2 linked regions of the Anolis sagrei genome follow. The protein of the gene in region 2 interacts with the protein of the main gene of each other region in a pairwise test. Links are inferred from orthologs where the notes say so. Each region holds a gene or a part of one and is shown on either strand. Other genes may lie near its edges.

What was found.
Region 1: the proteins of TPP2 (region 2) and POLB interact in binary tests that used the Homo sapiens proteins (3 or more experiments, as listed by UniProt). The two-hybrid records come from large-scale screens. The link is inferred for Anolis sagrei from reciprocal best matches to the Homo sapiens genes TPP2 and POLB.

What each region holds. Positions count from the first base shown.
Region 1 is NC_090027.1:22,804,152-22,813,110, reverse strand, and holds the start of POLB (DNA polymerase beta), read right to left. Parts: upstream 3,719-8,959; 5' UTR 3,622-3,718; coding exon 3,561-3,621; intron 899-3,560; coding exon 841-898; intron 1-840. Other genes in the region: UFM1 (ubiquitin-fold modifier 1), read left to right, coding at 3,864-3,865, 3,949-4,005, 6,962-7,019, 8,875-8,914.
Region 2 is NC_090023.1:113,553,649-113,562,733, forward strand, and holds the start of TPP2 (tripeptidyl-peptidase 2), read right to left. Parts: upstream 3,878-9,085; 5' UTR 3,607-3,877; coding exon 3,442-3,606; intron 1-3,441. UniProt on the Homo sapiens protein: Cytosolic tripeptidyl-peptidase that releases N-terminal tripeptides from polypeptides and is a component of the proteolytic cascade acting downstream of the 26S proteasome in the ubiquitin-proteasome pathway.

The sequences.
Region 1 (8,959 bases), on a different chromosome or scaffold from region 2:
TTCTTTCCAGTTCTGCCTCTGTCGGCGTTCCTTCAGCGCTCCTTCAGTTGCTTCCCCAAGGCCACCTTCGTGACCCTGGTTTGACAGCTATAGGAGCGGTTTTTTTTTTATGGCCCAGGCGGCAAGGTTTGGTTGGTTAAACTTCTTTCCTCTGCCGGAGCTAAGGTTCGCTGCTCCTACCATGCCGCCATCTTAGTGTTATTATTACATTTCCATTATTTTACTCTTATTATTATTGTCACATTTATTATTTTACTGTCTTTACTGGAAGGATATGTAAGAACATTCACACTGAAGAAGGTTAGAATAATGGTTTAAATCAGAGTTGGAGAGTCTTATCTTAAATTACAATTTTATGTAAATATTCAAAAACATTTATCCTATTGAGCCCTCAATTAAAGTAATTTTATTGGTATCTATTTTTATTTTGAAATTTACCAGTAGTTGCTGTATTTCCCACTCTCAGCTTATATTTGAGTCAATACGTTTTTCCAGTTTTTTGTGCTAAAATTAGGAACCTCTGTTTATATTCGGGTTGACTTATACTTTAGTATATATGGTAATGAAGAACCTGCCTCTCCATGGATAAGAGGTGAAATCAAGTTCCTCCTGTATGCCGTTTCCTTCTTGCAAGACTACACCAAAGGAGATGGAGAGACAGAGACTGGTATCAGATTAAAGGAGGCTGCCCTTGACACAATGCAACAGTATCAGACAGGTAGTCAAATTGTAAAAGAAAAGGGACAAATATGATGTTCTTTTCTTCTAACATTTTTTTTGGCAGCAATATTCCCATCAAAACCTAAAATACTTCCTTCCCTCCCGTCATGGAGACCTCACCTGTAAGCATTGTATTTGTGGATGGCTCTGTTCACATTTCTCTCATAGTTGGCCAGTTCTGAAAAGAGGATTTGTTGCAAAAAATGTAAGTGGCAGTAAAGAATACAACAACAGGTACCTTCATCTAAGCCATTAATAAAGATGTTGAGCAGAACTGGGCCCAGGACAGGACCCTCTTCCTGGCACTCCACTAGTCCCGTCTTTCCAGGATGAAGAGGAGGAACCATTTAATTATTTATTTATTTATTTATTTATAACGGCTTTTATATTCCTCCCTTCTCACCCCGCAGGGGACTCAGGGCGGATTACAGTGTACACATATATGGCAAACATTCAATGCCAATTTTTTGACATACAAACATATACAGACATATACAGAGGCTATTTAACTTTTTCTGGCCACCAGGGAAGCTGTCGCTTTCATCGTCCATCTGCGATGCTGATGAAGCACTTCCGCATTCCCCGCATGCTTCCCCGCTGGAATGCTTTGCTGGAGTCTTCTTTATGGCTCATAAATCAGTTAATTTAGCCTCCCCACACTTTAAGGTGATACCTTATTTTCCTACTTGACAGATGCAACTGTCTTTTGGGTTGCAAAGCTCGACAACAGGCTACACACAATTGGTTGGAAACCCATTCCAACCCGGGCTGGCTTCGAACTCATGACCTTTTGGTCAGAGTGATCTTAATGCAGCTGACACTCAGCCAGCTGCGCCACAATCCCGGTGCCATTGGGGAGAAGCGCCCTTTGGGTTCGGTCGCTTAACCTATGGCAGATCGACCTCATTGTCCAGCCCACATAGAGTCATAGAGTTGGAAAAGATCTCATGGGCCATCCAGTCCAACCCCCTGCCAAAAAGCAGGAATATTGCATTCAAAGTACCCCTGACAGATGGCCATCCAGCCTCTGTTTAAAAGCTTCCAAAGAAGAAGTCTCCACCACACTCCAGGGCAGAGAGTTCCACTGCTAAACAGCTCTCACAGTCAGGAATTTCTTCCTCATGTTCAGATGAAATCTCCTCTCTTGTAGTTTGAAGCCATTGTTCCGCATCCTAGTCTACAGGGAAGCAGAAAACAAGCTTGCTCCCTCCTCCCTGTGGCTTCCTCTCACATATTTATACATGGCTATCATGTCTCCTCTCAGCCTTCTCTTCTTCAGGCTAAACATGCCCAGCTCCTTAAGCTGCTCCTCATAGGGCTTGTTCTCCAGACCCTTGATTATTTTAGAGTGTCAATATCTCTCTTCAGTTGTGGTGGCCAGAATTGGACACAATATTCCAGGTGTGGTCTAACCAAGGCAGAAAAGAGCATGGGGAGCATTACTTCCCTGGATCTAGACACTAAAATAATAGAATCCTAGAGTTGGAAGAGACCTCATGGGCAACCCAGTCCAACCCCCTACCAAGAAGCAGGAATATTGCATTCAAAGCACCCCTGACAGATGGCCATCCAGCCTCTGTTTAAAAGCCCCCACTAGTCCAATGTGGGTTAGGCAAAATTGCGGTGAGGTGGATCAGTAATTGGTTAAATGGACAAACCCAGAGGGTGATTCTCCCCAATGCTTCCTCTTCATCCTGGAAATAAGTGACGAGCAGAGTGCCATCAGCAGGGTTCCGTCCTGGGCCCGGTCCTGTTCAGCATCTTTATTAATGACTTAGATCAAGGATTAGAAGGCAGGTTCATCAAGTTTGCAAACAACATCAAATTGGGAGGGATAGCCAATAGTCCAGAGGACAGGAGCAGGATTCAATACGATCTTGACAGATTAGACACAGATTAGAAAACTAACAAAATGAAGTTCAACAGTGACAAATGAAAGATACTCCACTTAGGCATAAAAAATGAAATGCAAAGATACAAAATGGGGGACAATGCCTGGCTTGAGAGCAGTACGTGTGAAAAAGATCTTGGAGTCTTCGTGGACAACAAGTTAAATATGAGCCAACAATGTGATGTGGCGGCAAAAAAAGCCAATGGGATTTTGGCCTGCATCAATAGGAGTCTAGTGTCTAGATCTAGGGAAGTCATGCTCCCCATGCTCTAATCCGCTTTGGTTAGACCACACCTGGAATATTGTGTCCAATTCTGGGCACCACAATTCAAGAGAGATATTGACAAGCTGGAATGTGTCCAGAGGAGGGTGACTCAAATGATCAAGGGTCTGGAGAACAAGCCTTATGAGGAGCGGCTTAAGGAGCTGGGCAAGTTTAACCTGAAGAAGAGAAGGATGAGAGGAGATATGATAGCCATTTATAAATATGTGAGAGGAAGCCACAGGGAGGAGGGAGCAAGCTTGTTTTCTGCTTCACTGGAGACTAGGACATGGAACAATGGCTTCAAACTACAAAAAAAGGAGATTCCACCTGAGCATGAGGAAGAACTTCCTGACTGTGAGAGCCGTTCAGCAGTGGAACTCTCTGCCCCGGAGTGTGGTGGAGGCTCCTTCTTTGGAAGCTTTTAAAGAGAGGCAGGATGGCCATCTGTCAGGGGTGATTTGAATGCAATATTCCTGCTTCTTGGCAGGGGGTTGGACTGGATGGCCCATGAGGTCTCTTCCAACCCTACGATTCTATTATTCTATTCCAGGTAGAAGAACAACATCTGATCCCTCCCGACAGATGGCTTCCAGCTCTTCCAACTCTTTGATTCTATGAAAGGAGGAGCCTCCACCACACTCCTATTGATGCACGGGGCTGGTCTTCGTCCTGAGGCCCACCTACCGGTGAGGAAGTCGGTGATACCGTCGTTGGGGTTTTCCTGAGGGGCTTTCCTCTTGCTCATGGCGACGGGAAGCCCTCCAGCGCTCTGATGATGCCCACTTCCGGGCTTGGCCACGACCACTTCCGGGCTTGGCCCCGCCCCACTTCCGGTGCAGCTTCTCAATCTCTCTTTGGCTAGAGAGCCCCGCCCCTCCCTGCGTTAGGTCACGTGGGAAGGCCTGACAGGAGAAAAAACACACCCCCGGAAGTGACGAAGCACGCGGAGCCGGGAAGTGGGCCCTGCAGCAGCCGGAGGCGATCAAAATGTGAGTCCGCGGGCAGCTTTTCTCTCCGTTTGGCGGCTCTTTCTCGGCCACGCTGACGCCTTTCCTCTCCGCCTTTCCCACAGGTCCAAAGTCACGTTCAAAGTCACGCTCACCTCCGACCCGCGGCTGCCTTACAAAGTGTGAGTCCCTGAGACCTGAGGGAAGGGAGACGCCTGGGGAGGGCACTGCGCATGCGCGGGAGGTGCATTGGACACGTCGCTTTCCAGAGGGAGGGGCGGGAGAGAGAGAGATAGAAGGCTGTGAGTTGTCACTTCCGGCAACCTGTAGAATCAGTCTACAACAGTGGTTCTCAACCTGGGGTCCCCAGATGTTTTTGGCCTTCAACTCCCAGAAATCCTAACAGCTGCTACACTGGCTGGGATTTCTGGGAGTTGTAGGTCAAAAACATCTGGGGACCCCAGGTTGAGAATCACTGGTCTATAATGTTAAAGTTTTTATTATTATTACTAGCTTTACCCCCCCCCCTCCGCCACGCCTTGCTGTGGCCAACCATCCCCTCTCTTTTCTTTCTTTCCTCCTTTCTTTCTATCCTTCTTTCCCTCCCTTTTTTTCTTTCATTCTCTCCTTCCTTCCTTCCTCCTCTTCCTCTTCTATTCCTTCCAATTTCTTTATAATAATAAAAAAACTTTATTATTATTATTATTATTATTATTATTATAAAGCCGTTCAGCAGTGGAACTCTCTGCCCCGGAGAGTGGTGGAGGCTCCTTCTTTGGGAGCTTTTAAACAGAGGCTGGATGGCCATCTGTCAGGGGTGATTTGAATGCAATGTTCCTGCTTCTTGGCAGGGGGTTGGACTGGATGGCCCATGAGGTCTCTTCCAACTCTTCGATTCTATGATTCTATGAAATGCGAAAGAGAAATGGGATCATACCACCACATGTGGTGGGATTGTAAGATCATTAAGAAATACTGGATAACAATCCACAGGCCCTGTAAAAATATTATCAAAATAAAATACGAATTGAAACCCGAATACTACCTGTTGAATATAATGGATTTTGAAATTGGGAAAAACGAAGAAATTCTTTTTTATCTCACAGCCGCAGCGAGAATTACGATCGCCCCAAAATGGAAAGACAAAGACCCCCCAATAATAGAGAATTGGCTCTCCAAGATTGGAGAATTTATGAATATGGATAGACTGTCACAGCTAATTAAAAATCAGAAAAAGGAAAATCAAACCAATTGGAACCAACTCAAAAAGTACTTGCAGGAAAAAATGAAGATTAATATTAATACGATAATCAAAATATTCGGATAGCGACGACATAAAGAAAACATTTTCTCTAGGATTCTATGATTCTAGTGTCTAGATCCAGGGAAGTCATGCTAACCGTCTATTCTGCCTTGGTTAGACCACACCTGGAATATTGTGTCCAATTCTGGGCACCACAATTCAAGAGAGATATTGACAAGCTGGAATGTGTCCAGAGGAGGGCGACTAAAATGATCAAGGGTCTGGAGAACAAGCCCTATGAGGAGCGGCTTAAGGAGCTGGGCATGTTTAGCCTTAAGAAGAGGAGGCTGAGAGGAGACATGGGGGCCATGTATAAATATGGGAGAGGAAGCCACAGGGAGGAGGAAGCAAGCTTGTTTTCTGCTTCCCTGGAGACGAGGATGCAGAACAATGGCTTCAAACTACAAAAAAGGAGATTCCAACTGAACATTAGGAAGAAGTTCCTGGCTGAGATCTGTTCAGCAGTGGAACTCTCTGCCCTGGAGTGTGGTGGAGGCTCCTTCTTTGGAAGCTTTTAAACAGAGGCTGGATGGCCATCTGTCGGGGGTGATTCTATTATTTATACCCCGCCACCATCTCCCCAAGGGACTTGGAGCAGCTTACATGAGGCCAAGCCCAACGACACATCAATAAAAACAAAAGCAACAAACAAAACAATAAACACAATACAATTAATATAAATCACATATAAACAATAACCAATAAACTGTAGCACACAAGGATTTAAGAACCTATGGCCGGCAGACAAGAGTCCTTTGTCCCACCCTGGTCATTCCACAGATAGATAAACCCCTTTTTCCTAGTTCCAACAGACCTCACTACCTCTGAGGATGCTTGCCATAGATGCAGGCGAAATGTCAGGAGAGAATGCCTCTAGACCATGGCCATACAGCCCGAAAAAACCTACAACAACCCACCAATAGTTCGTTTATTTATTTATTTACAGTATTCCAACCTTTTCACCCCACAAGGGACTCAGGGTGGATTACAAGGCACATTTACATGGCAAACATTCAATGCCTTTAGACATGCAACATATATAGACAGACATAGACAATTTAACATTCCAGCTTTCTGGCTTCATGAGGGTATGCTTGATTCCGACCACAGGGGGAGCTGCCGCTTCACCATTCGCTTGTAACACCGAGTCCTTGATGGAGTACTTCCTCATTCTTATGCACACTGCTGGAAGGTTTTATGGTGTGGTAAATTAGTTAAGTTAGCCTCCCCGCATAAAGTGGTACCTAAATTTTCTACTTGACAGATGCAACTGTATTTGGGCTGCATAAGTCAACAGCAAACTAGACTATTAATGGTTGGGAGCTCACTCTGACCCGGGCTGGCTTCGAAGTCATGACCTCTTGTTCAGTAGTGATTTAATGCAGCTGGCTACTTGGTCAGTAGTGATTTAATGCAGTTTGGCATTCCAGACTTTCAACTGATGTCTCCTTTTGTATCTCTAAAAAGGGTGATGGCCTGTTTATTGCTGGGCCTGTTTTTTGTTTGTGTTTTATTTTCCTGTCAGGCTGTTTTTCTCATGCCAGATTCTAACACTAAAGACTAAGGCTATTTATTTGCCCAAACTATTCCTCATACCATTGCTATTTATTAATCAAATTAAATAGGTGCCCATTGCCCCCTTCACTGTGGGATTAATGCAGTTTAACACCACTTGAGCTGCCAAATCTCAATGCTGTGGGATGCAGGAAGCTGTAGTTTGGTGAGGCACAGGCACTCTTAGGCAGAGAAGGCTCAAGGCCCTGTGAAACAGCTACTCCATGATCCCATGATTTGTGTTCTGGTCTCACAGTTGTGTTATTTCCGGTTTCCTGTAGACTGAGCGTGCCTGAAGTCACACCGTTCACGGCTGTCTTGAAATTTGCTGCAGAAGAAGTAAGTTGCTCTCTTATTTTCCCAAACAATGTCATGGTTGCCATTTTCTTGTGCTTTTTTACTTGATTTGTTTCAAGAGATTCCCAAAGCAGGGAATAAAAGCAGCAGTTACGTAGGAGCATCAGGACACCTTTATGCCCTTGCTAGAGCAGAATTGCACTGTTAGTCTTTGGCATAAAGCATGTCCAAGTATGGTCCCATGCAATGGCTCTTTGCATCAACTTTGTGTTGCTATGGATACTTCTCATGAGTATCTTTAACTCCTGTGAGTCTTGGAGTATTTTTTGTGAGAAGACTAAACCCATAGCAACTCAGCCTGTAGCCTTTACCCCTCAGAGTGAGAGAGGCCTCAGTATGAGAAGGCCTTTGTAGGAGTAGGCCTCAGTGTGAGTGGGCCTGGTGTGAGAAGCTTCAGTGAGAGGAAGCCCTAGGTTGAAAGCCATTGTGGGTGAAGCTCCAGTGTGAAGGCTGCTGTGCGTGAAGCTACTGTTGAAGCTCTCGTGTAAGTTTGGCGTGGGAGGAAGCTCTGTGAGAGTGAAACTAGAAGCTGTTTATCTGCATGAGAAAGAAGCCCAGGGTGGAAGCAAAGAAGGAAGTATAAAGAACTTTATTTGTGTTTATTTGGAAAACTTGTTATTTTAAATAGTGCATTCCTATATTTTACTACAAACAAAAGCCTCCTGTGGAAGAGATTTTATTTATTTATTTACGACATTTATATGCCGCCCTTCTTACCCCGAAGGGGACTCAGAGCAGCTTACAAGTAAAAAGTAAATACGATATATTATTATTATCTATGGAGGTTGAGAAGATCGGGATATAAAAGTTTTAGATAAATATAGTATATTGTACTGTAACATTATACTGTAGTATTATTAGTAATATTACATTTAATACATTACAATATTATCAATATATGTATATACAATATATTATATTATAAGCACAGTGCAGGAGACAAGATGGAACTGCCTAGGAAGGCCCCTCTCTTCATTCTGATCTCAGAGCAGCAGTTGGTTTCTTGGGGGGGGGGGGGGCTCCCAACTGATGACACTGGAGACAAGTTGGAACTGCTTCCATGGCTCGTCCCTTCATTCTGATCTCAGAGCTGCAGTTGGTTTTTTTTGGGGGGGGGGGGGGTCCCCAACTGGTGACACAGGAGGCAAGTTGGAACTGTCTTCATGGCCCCTCTCTTCATTCTGATCTCAAAGCAGCAGTTGGTTCTTGGGGGGGGGGGGGGCTCTCAACTGATGACACTGGAGGCAATTTGGAACTGCCTTCATGGCCCCTCTCTTCATTCTGATCTCAGAGCAGCGGTTGTTGCTGGAGGGTGAGGGCTCCCAACTGATAACACTGGAGACAAGTTGGAACTGTCTTCATGGCCCGTCTCTTCATTCTGATCTCAGAGCAGCAGTTGGTTCTTGGGGGAGAGGGGGCTCCCAACTGATGACACTGGAGACAAGTTGGAACTGGCTTCATGGCCCCTCTCTTCATTGGTCTGCGTGTTTTTGTTCTTTATCTCACTTTGAGCTACTGATTCACACTGCTGTACATTTATGAGGAGGGTCTTTTGTTATTAAGCTTACTCGTCCAACATACCTGAGTTCTAAGCCCATATATGATTTTACCTACAATTTCATAAATCACTGAAATTCCCACATACCAGAGTTCCGATTCACACACATCAGGGCAATTGATCTTTATGGCTGGTTCATGTTCCCTTCCAGCAACCTGGCTTCCCTTTTGGGCATGTGGTATATGTCGGCACCAGCGGTGGGGAGGGTCATAGTTGCACGATATGAGTGATTATGGTATCCCGATTTCCTTTAATACGTTGTGCTTCTGTTCTGTTTAGTTCAAAGTCCCGGCAGCAACAAGTGCCATCATAACAAACGGTGAGTGTTTTAACGCCGGGACACAGGGATAGTGGTCGGTATTGC
Region 2 (9,085 bases):
GCAATACTTCAAGCCTTCTGGACTGAAAAATTATGGAGGTGGCAGCTCTTTGCCAATTCAGCACTAAAAAGAGTAGAGGTGGGCAGTTCTTTTCTGAGGTTTTTCAGAGACAAATTAAGGTCCCTCTGGGCCGCTCAAAGGACGAAAGAGGTGTTTTACTCATGAATAAGCAAATGGAAGATTACGTCTCCTTTACTCATGCTGATTTTCTTTACCCATTGCCACCATCCCATTCGTAACCAACGAGACGTCTTAAACTAGTACTCCTGCTTTGATTCTCTAGCTTTGGAGGACTCACCATGCTGGCAGAACCGAACTTAGAGCTCTTCTCACTATAGAATGCAGCTGATAGCCCTTGAGTCTCCATGGCTGTCCTGCAACATGGGAGACAGAGGAGTGCATTGCCACCTATCACAAAAGACAGGGCCGGAATAGAAGTGTGAGCCCAGGGTCTTCTGATCTGAGCAGGGGAAAGCAACAGCAATTGGAGCAACAGTTGAGATAGGAGATAAGCCTAGGCAACTGAGGCGAGATGGTCGATTTGCTTACTCACAAGTAAACTGCTACCTTCCCGCTCTTGGCAGCCAAAAAGGGAAGGAGCTCATACTATCCCTGAGATAAACTGCAGCAAAACCACAAGTAAACCAACAGACCTAATAAATATCTAGTAATAGATCAGGCCTATTTGAATTCCTGGGTGGTAAAATGGTAGTGACAGCCACTGGCAGCTGATCTCAATGAGGCACTTGGTGCTTTATCTCTCTTCCCAGAATGACCCTCAACTTATCCACAGATCATATGAAATCAAAATCCATAATTAAATCTGCCCTCAACTTACACAAGAGGTTAACTTACACACTATATACAGTAATGTCAGTCCATTTACAGGCAGAAATACTTTTCTTTAATAGCACATCTAATGTATTATCCACCCTTATAAGTGGCAAACATTATAATCATCACTGCTGCCTGAACACTGACTTCACAAAAGCAAACATCCTTTGGTGTCATGCTCCCACATATTAAAAAATGTATACTCCTTCCTCCTCAGGGTGTAAACAAGGTGTTCCCTTGATCTAATTCTGATTAGCAGCTAACACTACAAAAAATCCTCATTCATAATACACAGTAAGCATAACTATAGTTAGAGGATATGACCCAATCCCTACTAAGAAAGAACTGGTTTGCTTTTGCTCACTGAAATGAAATCACATAGATTTGTGAAAGTCTATAAAATATCCTCCCTCTCCAAGATGCCATTTAAAAATAGAAGGAAAAATGAACAGATTGTTGTGGAATGATTTTCTTTAGGAAGATGAATAAAGTGTTTACGAGAGGGTGGCATTCCTACAACTAAAAAATGATACATTTTTAAATCTGCTCCAAAACAAAATTTCTGGTCATTCTTCAAGTATCTTAATGCAACCACAAGCTCTTCCACTGCAACAAACCCAAGTGATTTCATTTTGCCATTAAAAAAGACATTTGTTTTCTACCATTCTACAGGCTTTTGCAGACACCACTATCAGTAGCAGAATCCAAGCTAGTTATACATGAACTAGCATACTGAATCCTTTGGTCCAAAAGCACTCACTTGCTGAAAGTAAGCAAAGAAAACATGGCTTTCAGGATATGTTCAGCACAGGAATGAACAAAATGAAGCCTATAGAACCAGAGGAAGCCAAATGTCAATGCAGTCCTCTGCCAACACCTGCCAAAAGGTTAATTGAGGTGATCAGATATTTGGGGCAAAAGTATTTCAAGTTCGAAAAGTATTCTTCTATTGCAGAACTTTCCAAACTATGTGTTGGTTGTAGTGTGTAAATGTGTTGCACGAAAATAATGAGAAACCTCTGTGTTTATGTGAAATAAAAATAAATATGAGATATACATTTTGTTATTCCAAATTATGTATGTACCTGTATCTCTTATCAGGAATTGGTTTAAACTCCGGTTTGATAGTAAAACTGAATTACTGTGTCACAAAATGATATGTGTTTAAAACGTGTGTCACCAACATGAAATATTTGGAAACCTCTATCCTATCGGCTCTGGATGTCATGCTAAATCTATGATTTGCTTACATATGCACAATAAACCAGGTTCCTGCAGAACCTTTATTTCAATTACAACAATAATTCTGTTAGTGCCTCCAAACATAATGTGCTACCTCAACAATTCAGTGGTATTGTATCCAAAGAAACAATTTCAGAGGACACTACAAAACAAGACAATTCACGTTATGCTTGCAAGCTTCCCACTACAGACATCATGAGCATGCTTTCTCTGGGATTCCAAAATACTCTGAGATGCAAAATCATCCACATGGGAAGCTGAAATAGTGACACCTTTGTTTCCTGATGGTTCAGTGTACACAAGCTTTGTTCCATGCACTAAATTATTACAAATGTAGCATATACAATTACCCCCAGGCTATGTGTTTAAACATAACATGCATAAATGAATGTTATGTTTGGATCACATCCCAGAAATCTTTCATCATGTAGATGGGAATAAATACAGGTAACCCAAAATAATAATAATGTTTTTGTGTCAGGAACAACTTAGGAAATTGCAAGGCGCTTCTGGTGTGAGAGATTTTTCCTTCTGCAAGGATGTTGCTCAGGGGACACCCGGATATTTCTCTATTTACTGCATTTATATTCTCACTCCTGGGGGGGGGGGGGTTCAAAGCCGTGTACAAAAAGTATTGGCAAGATTCAATGCCAATATATATATATTTGATGTTTTACCATTCTGTGGGAGGCTTCTCTTGTGTCCCTGCACGGGGAGCTAGAGCTGACAGACAGGTGCTCACCCCACTCCCTGGATTCAAACCGCCGATCTTTCGGTCAGCAGTCCTGCCAGCACAAGGGTTTAACCCATTGTGCCACCGGGAGATCCATATAACAACAACAACAACAACAACAATAATCTGAAATCACATATTAATAATACATTTTCCTTGTTATGCGGTTCTTTTCATGGCTTGAGACAGGGTACAGCATGGTGAAAACTCAGATAAAATGCAAAACCCAGATAAAAGTGCATAGATTTAAATATACACAGATCAAGGACAGACACCGATACTAATAAAATATAAGGTCAAATCTACACTTCTGGTGGATTTCCCAAGCATTTCAGAAAACCCTCAATCTGTGTAAGAAACAGGATGCTGGGCTTGAAAGGCCTTTGGCTGGATTCAGCAGGGCTTTCCCTGTGGTTGCGGCTCGTTTCTACAAACGACTAAATTCTGACCATTTCAGGCACTGGATGCTGATGAGCGCGATTACTCCTCTGAGGGCCTAAGAAAATTCCCTACTGTACTTTCCTCTAAACAGAGGCCCTCAGAAGTCATCATAAATCCCTCCTGATCCCAAACTTCTTCCCTCAGACAAGCCAAAAGCAGCCCCACCAACAGGTCACGCCCGCCCCGCTTACCTGCATCCCCGGGGCGCCGGGGTCTACCCCCGTGTCCAAAATGGCCACTAGCACCCCCCGCCCGTCATGCTCCGGGTAGCGGGAGAGGAAGGCGGCCGCGCCGGTCTCCTTTTTGGGAAGAAGCCCCTGGAAGGGGAACGGCTCTTCCACGGCCCCCGCCGCCATGTTGGGTGAGGAGAAAACGCGCGAGGCGGGGGAGGGAGGGAGGGAGGGGGGGGTCAGGTGGGCCACCAGGCACGCACGCACGCGACACGAGGAAGGCGTCGCGCGGACCCAGGTGACGTCACGGCTCTGGCAAACCCAGACCGCGGCTCCTCCGGGAAGGAAGAGAGTTTCAGGCTTCTTTTTCCCGGCCGGCGCATGCGCGCGCTGCTCAGCCAATGGGAATCCACCACCCCGAAGAGAGCGCGGCGAGCTGCTTTACTGGTTACAACAGATGCCGAAGTCGGAAGGGAGATTTTGCGGAGAGCAGAGCTGACGCCCGGAAGGAAGCAGCCAATCAGGTTGAAGCGCGAGAAGAGAACTGGAATTTGATTGGTCCTGGCTCAGACCAATGAGGAAATAAGTACCGCGTTTCTTAAAGGGGCCGGCAAGTCCGAGATCTTCGACTACGCCACCCAAGCTGTTTCTCCCTCAAACAACGCGAGATTCCTCTGTTGGCTCAGGTTCCGTTTGGGATCCATAGCGCTCCCAAGGCCCTTTTCACAGGAACATACATATTTATTATACTAATCGTGTAATATACCGGTGGGAGAACCAAGAATGGGCCAGGGTATGGCGTATGCGATTACTAAATAAAAATATGTCCATAATAATTAAGGAAAACTATTACAAAACGGTATGGATATGGTACTTGATCCCGATTAGATTAAATCAGATAGATAAAAATGCTTAAATCAGTACTGGAGAGGCTGTCAGGAAATAGGCTCATATTTTCATATATAGTGATCCTGTAAAATTATACAACAATTTTGGAAAAGGGTATTTAAATAAATAAGAATAAGAATACAAATATGGAGGATGCACCAAAATCAGCATTATTACTTAAACATGGCAATACATGTAGAGAGTGGTAGAGTAATATAGTACAATACAATCATATGTAATAATATAATATTACTAATAATATTGCAGCAGAGATAAAGCGGGATATAAATAAATAAGGTCAATAACCAGCACCAAAAAAAGGGAAGGGGAAAAAAAAGAGCAAATGTCCTGGAAGTGTTGTGCACCTCCCTAGCTTCTCCAGTGTTATTTTATTATATGTTTCTGATCCAAGTATTGGTAAACTATAGGATTCAATGTTATCCATAGTTTCATCAGATACACAGTATGTACTGTGTACATACATACTGCTGAAATTGTAAAGATAGGTTTCGAGAATCCTGAACTATGGTGTAGATAATCATCAGATTGTATTCAGTGTGTTTGTAGAATGAAACATGTGTATTTCTGTGTGAATTGCTGAACATATGTCTACTTTATAGCAGTTGTAAGTGTGTCCTACAATCTGCATGGAGTACAGAGTTTTTATGTCTCAAGAGTTGGCATCAGAAATTCTGAGAAAAATATTTTCTGCATGAGGAACCATGGGTGCCTCATGAAAGCACAAAGAATTCAAAGTGTGAATTAAAAACTCACAGAAGAAGACAGTGGAGGACAATATTGCAGCTAATATGCTTATCAGAGCAGTCCCCCAATAACAGCCTTGAAGCTAGAAATGGAAGAATGCCTTCCTGCACAGCATGATGTAACAGAAGATCTTGAGTTGATATCTGTGGATATTGGACACTCCAGTCTACTTGGTTTTTTGTTCTGTGTTTACCCTTTCTATTTCTCTTCTCTCTTTTTTCCTGACATATAGGGAACTCTGCTGTAGCACAATATCCAATTTTGGGCACTGTACATTTAGAACAGGCAAATTGGGCCCTTACAGATGCTGCTGGACTGCAACTCTCAGGTTGGTGATGCTGGCTAGGGTCAATGGAGGCTACAGTATACTGTGCTCATCCCTGACTGACAGATAAAGCTGAATTGGAACATAAGGAAGGAAGAACATTTTCACATATGGACAGCAGAACAAAAAGAAGTCCTATGTGAAAAGTTTGAAGAACTCGTCATGTTTATCCTGATGAAGGGGAATGGGAATGATAACAGTCTTGTTACTGCAGAACTTTGCAACTTCATGATTTAGGCAACAGCTCCCAGAATTGCAAGCTATTAAAATCCAGGACCTGAAGTTATTCACAAAATCATTTTTGCCACAGACTAGAGTAAATGTCTTCAAATTATAGGAGGACAGATTTCAATTGAACATCAGGAAAAAACCTCTTCATGATAAGAGCTGTTCAAAAACAAAGCCGATCATCTGTAGGAAGGACAGACTCTCCTTCATTAGATAGTCTTTCATGCAGGAACTAGGCCTCTTCCACCTCCATATAAAATCCAGATTATCTGTTTTGAACTGGATTATATGCCAGTGTAAACTCATACAATCCAGTTCAAAGCAGATAATGTGGATTATCCGCTTTGATAATCTGGATTATATGGCAGTGTAGAAGGAGTCCTAGTGAGTCATCTCTTGGATTTCCTCTAGGAGAAGCAGTGTCAGATGATGCTATGCAAGCTGTCTCCCTCTTTGACACTATAAACATCTTCACATGTTATTTTGAAGACATCTTGATTGTAGGTACACCCATTTTGATAATTGTGAGGATCTAGTTCTAGTTCATTTTTCCTAAGCCTCATACAGAATACCAAGGAACCACGCTTTTGACCTGCCCTTTCCACTTCCCCACCAAATGTTGATATGAAAGGCATCTAAAAGTGGTGTCAATGTGTTTAAGTGAACATAATTACTAAGTCTTACATGTTAAACAAGGTTCCCAGTCTAATAGAGCTCTGTAATTACAGTCAGCAGAATGCAGTAGCTGCAGATCGGGCCAAGCAAGACATTTGATATGGGATTGTCTAGCCTTGTCAGCAGGTCAAGCTTTTAATGACTGTTGAGGAAGGATTCGGTGCTTTTTAATTGTGTGTTGGATTGCTTTTAATTCAATGTATTTATTTTATTTGTTACGGAAATTTCTATGCTGCCTTTCTCCAGTATGAACCCAAAGCGGCTCACATTATATCAGACATACAAATAATTAAAAACCATAACTATACAAATATTAGAGGTTCACTAATTCTTTAAAACTTTCCTCATTATTAAACATTAAAAGTAAATTTTAGCCTAAAATTCCCATTCTTTTGAATTCATTTTTACTGGCTTCAGTTGCTTCGAAGAGGAAAGTCTTCATGTCTTTCTTATATCATGATGGTGGGAACCAATCTAATTTCCTCTGGCAGTGAGTTCCACAACTTAGAAGCCGCCCCCAAGAATGTCCCTTCTCTAGTGATTTTTAAGTGGATGTTGGCCAGGGACTGTGTAAAAATCAGGGTCTCCTTACTAGACCTTATTTATTTATTTATTATTTGAACTTATATGCCGCCACTCCCCTGGGGCTCAGAGCGGCTTACAAGAACAGGCTAAAATTGAACACCATTTAAAAACAATTTAAAAACAATTTAGAGGTCTACTGGCCCGTATACGGGGACACGGACGCCCTATACAGGCTGGTAGTCATGCAGGGCTTTATAGATTAAAACCGGCACCTTGAATTGGACCCAGAAACAAATCAGGAGCCAATGGAGCTGTTTCAACAGGTGTGCTTCCTGGAATCAACTTCCATAAGTAACCTGGTAAGTAACACTTTTCAAGGGCAGTCCCATGTAGAGCACATTACAGTAGTCCAAATGTACCACAGTGACCAAGTCATATTTCTCCATGAATGGGTGCAGTTGGCACACAAGTTTTAGTTGTGCAAAGGCAGTCCTGGTTACCTTGCCACCTGGGCTTCCAGATTTAAGGCAGAATCCAGAATCATCCCCAAACCTGGGATTTCAGGGGGAGTGTAACCCCATCCAGCTCAAGTTGTAACCCTATTTCTGGATCAATCTTACGCAAGGCCAGCAGTACCTCCATCTTATCTGGAATAAGCATCAATTTGTTTACCCTCATCCAGTCCATTACCAACCTCAAGCATTGGTTCAGGTGTGGAACGACTTCCTTGGCATCTGTTGGAAAGGAGTAATAGAGATTAGCATTATCCACGTATGGATGATACTGAATTCCAAACCTCTGGATGATCTCTCCCAGTGGTTTCATGTAGATGTTAAACAACATTGGGGATAAAGATGAGCCCTGCGGGACCACACAGTCCACAGACCATGGGGCTGAGCAGGACCTCCCCACCCGACACCACCTTCTGGCGGTGGCCCAAAAGGAAAGACGAACCACTGCAACACTGTGCCTCCCAGTCCCATCCTCGCAAGTCACTCCAGAAGGATATCATGGTTGATAGTATTGAAAGCCGCTGAGAGATCCAGAAGGACTGGCAGGGTCACACTCCCCCTGTCCAGCTCTCTGCTCTCAAGGCAACTCAAGGCAACTAAAGCTATTTCCATCACATGTCCCAGCCTGAATCCAGATTGAAATGGATCTAGAAAATCAGCTTTATCCAAAAATCTTTGGAGTTGTTTGGCCACCACCCATTCCAGGTTCTTGGTAATGAATGGTAAATAAGTTACTGGTATATAGTTGTCCAAAATAGTAGGAATGGGATAGTTTTTATATATTATAGTTTGTGTTTTACTCTTTAAATGTTTTGTGTTTAAAACTTGTATGTTGCCATAGGTTCCAGTTTGAGGAGATAGTTCATATAAATGCATAAAATCTACCAGTAAATGCCATGATTTCCTACATGGAGGTGAGCTGTCTTGAACATAAAACATAATTATTTCAGTCAAATGACAAACTGTTTTTTTTTGTGGGCAGTGGGGGTGGGGGTGGAGTCAGCACATAAACAAAAGGGGCAGATAACATGCCTTAAAATAATCGGATACTCTCTGAACATGGAAATCAAACTAGACATTGGTATCTGCAAGTGACAACTGGTGGTCTTAATGGTGAAGTTTAGATTATGTGTATAATGATTTTTTTAAAGTAGTTCACTCAACATAGAAACAAATCAAGGAGAACAAGTAAGCTAGTAGATAAATAAGGTTTGAACTCTGTTTCCTGTTTTGGTGCTCTCCCAACTGAGATGGGTAAAAGATAGGGTTCTCAGTATTCCTGACCAAGCCCAGATTGTCATCCAAGTGTTCAATCTCAGTTCTGCATATTTTAAGAGACATTTTTTCCCAACACACCCTTCAACTGCCTTGAGTTCTTTTAAAACATCTTAGGTTGCACACAGTGGAATCTTAAGAATTATTAGTCATAAATTAAATATCACAAGTAACAAACAGAAATGTATGCTAGAGAGGCAATTGGCATTGGTGTAAAGATCTTGCTTTTAAGTTCTAGAAGGGATTTCTCTCAGGCAATTCCATTACTATGGCCAAATGTGGGGATCTTTAAACAGTAGAGTCTCACTTATCCAACCTTCGCTCATCCAACGTTCTGTATTATCCAACGCAGTCTGCCTCCTGCCCGATCCACAGCTTTTTCATTACATTGCGATGTTTTGGTGCTAAATTTGTAAATACAAGAATTGCTACATAACATTATTGTGTATTGAACTGCTTTTTATGTCGATTT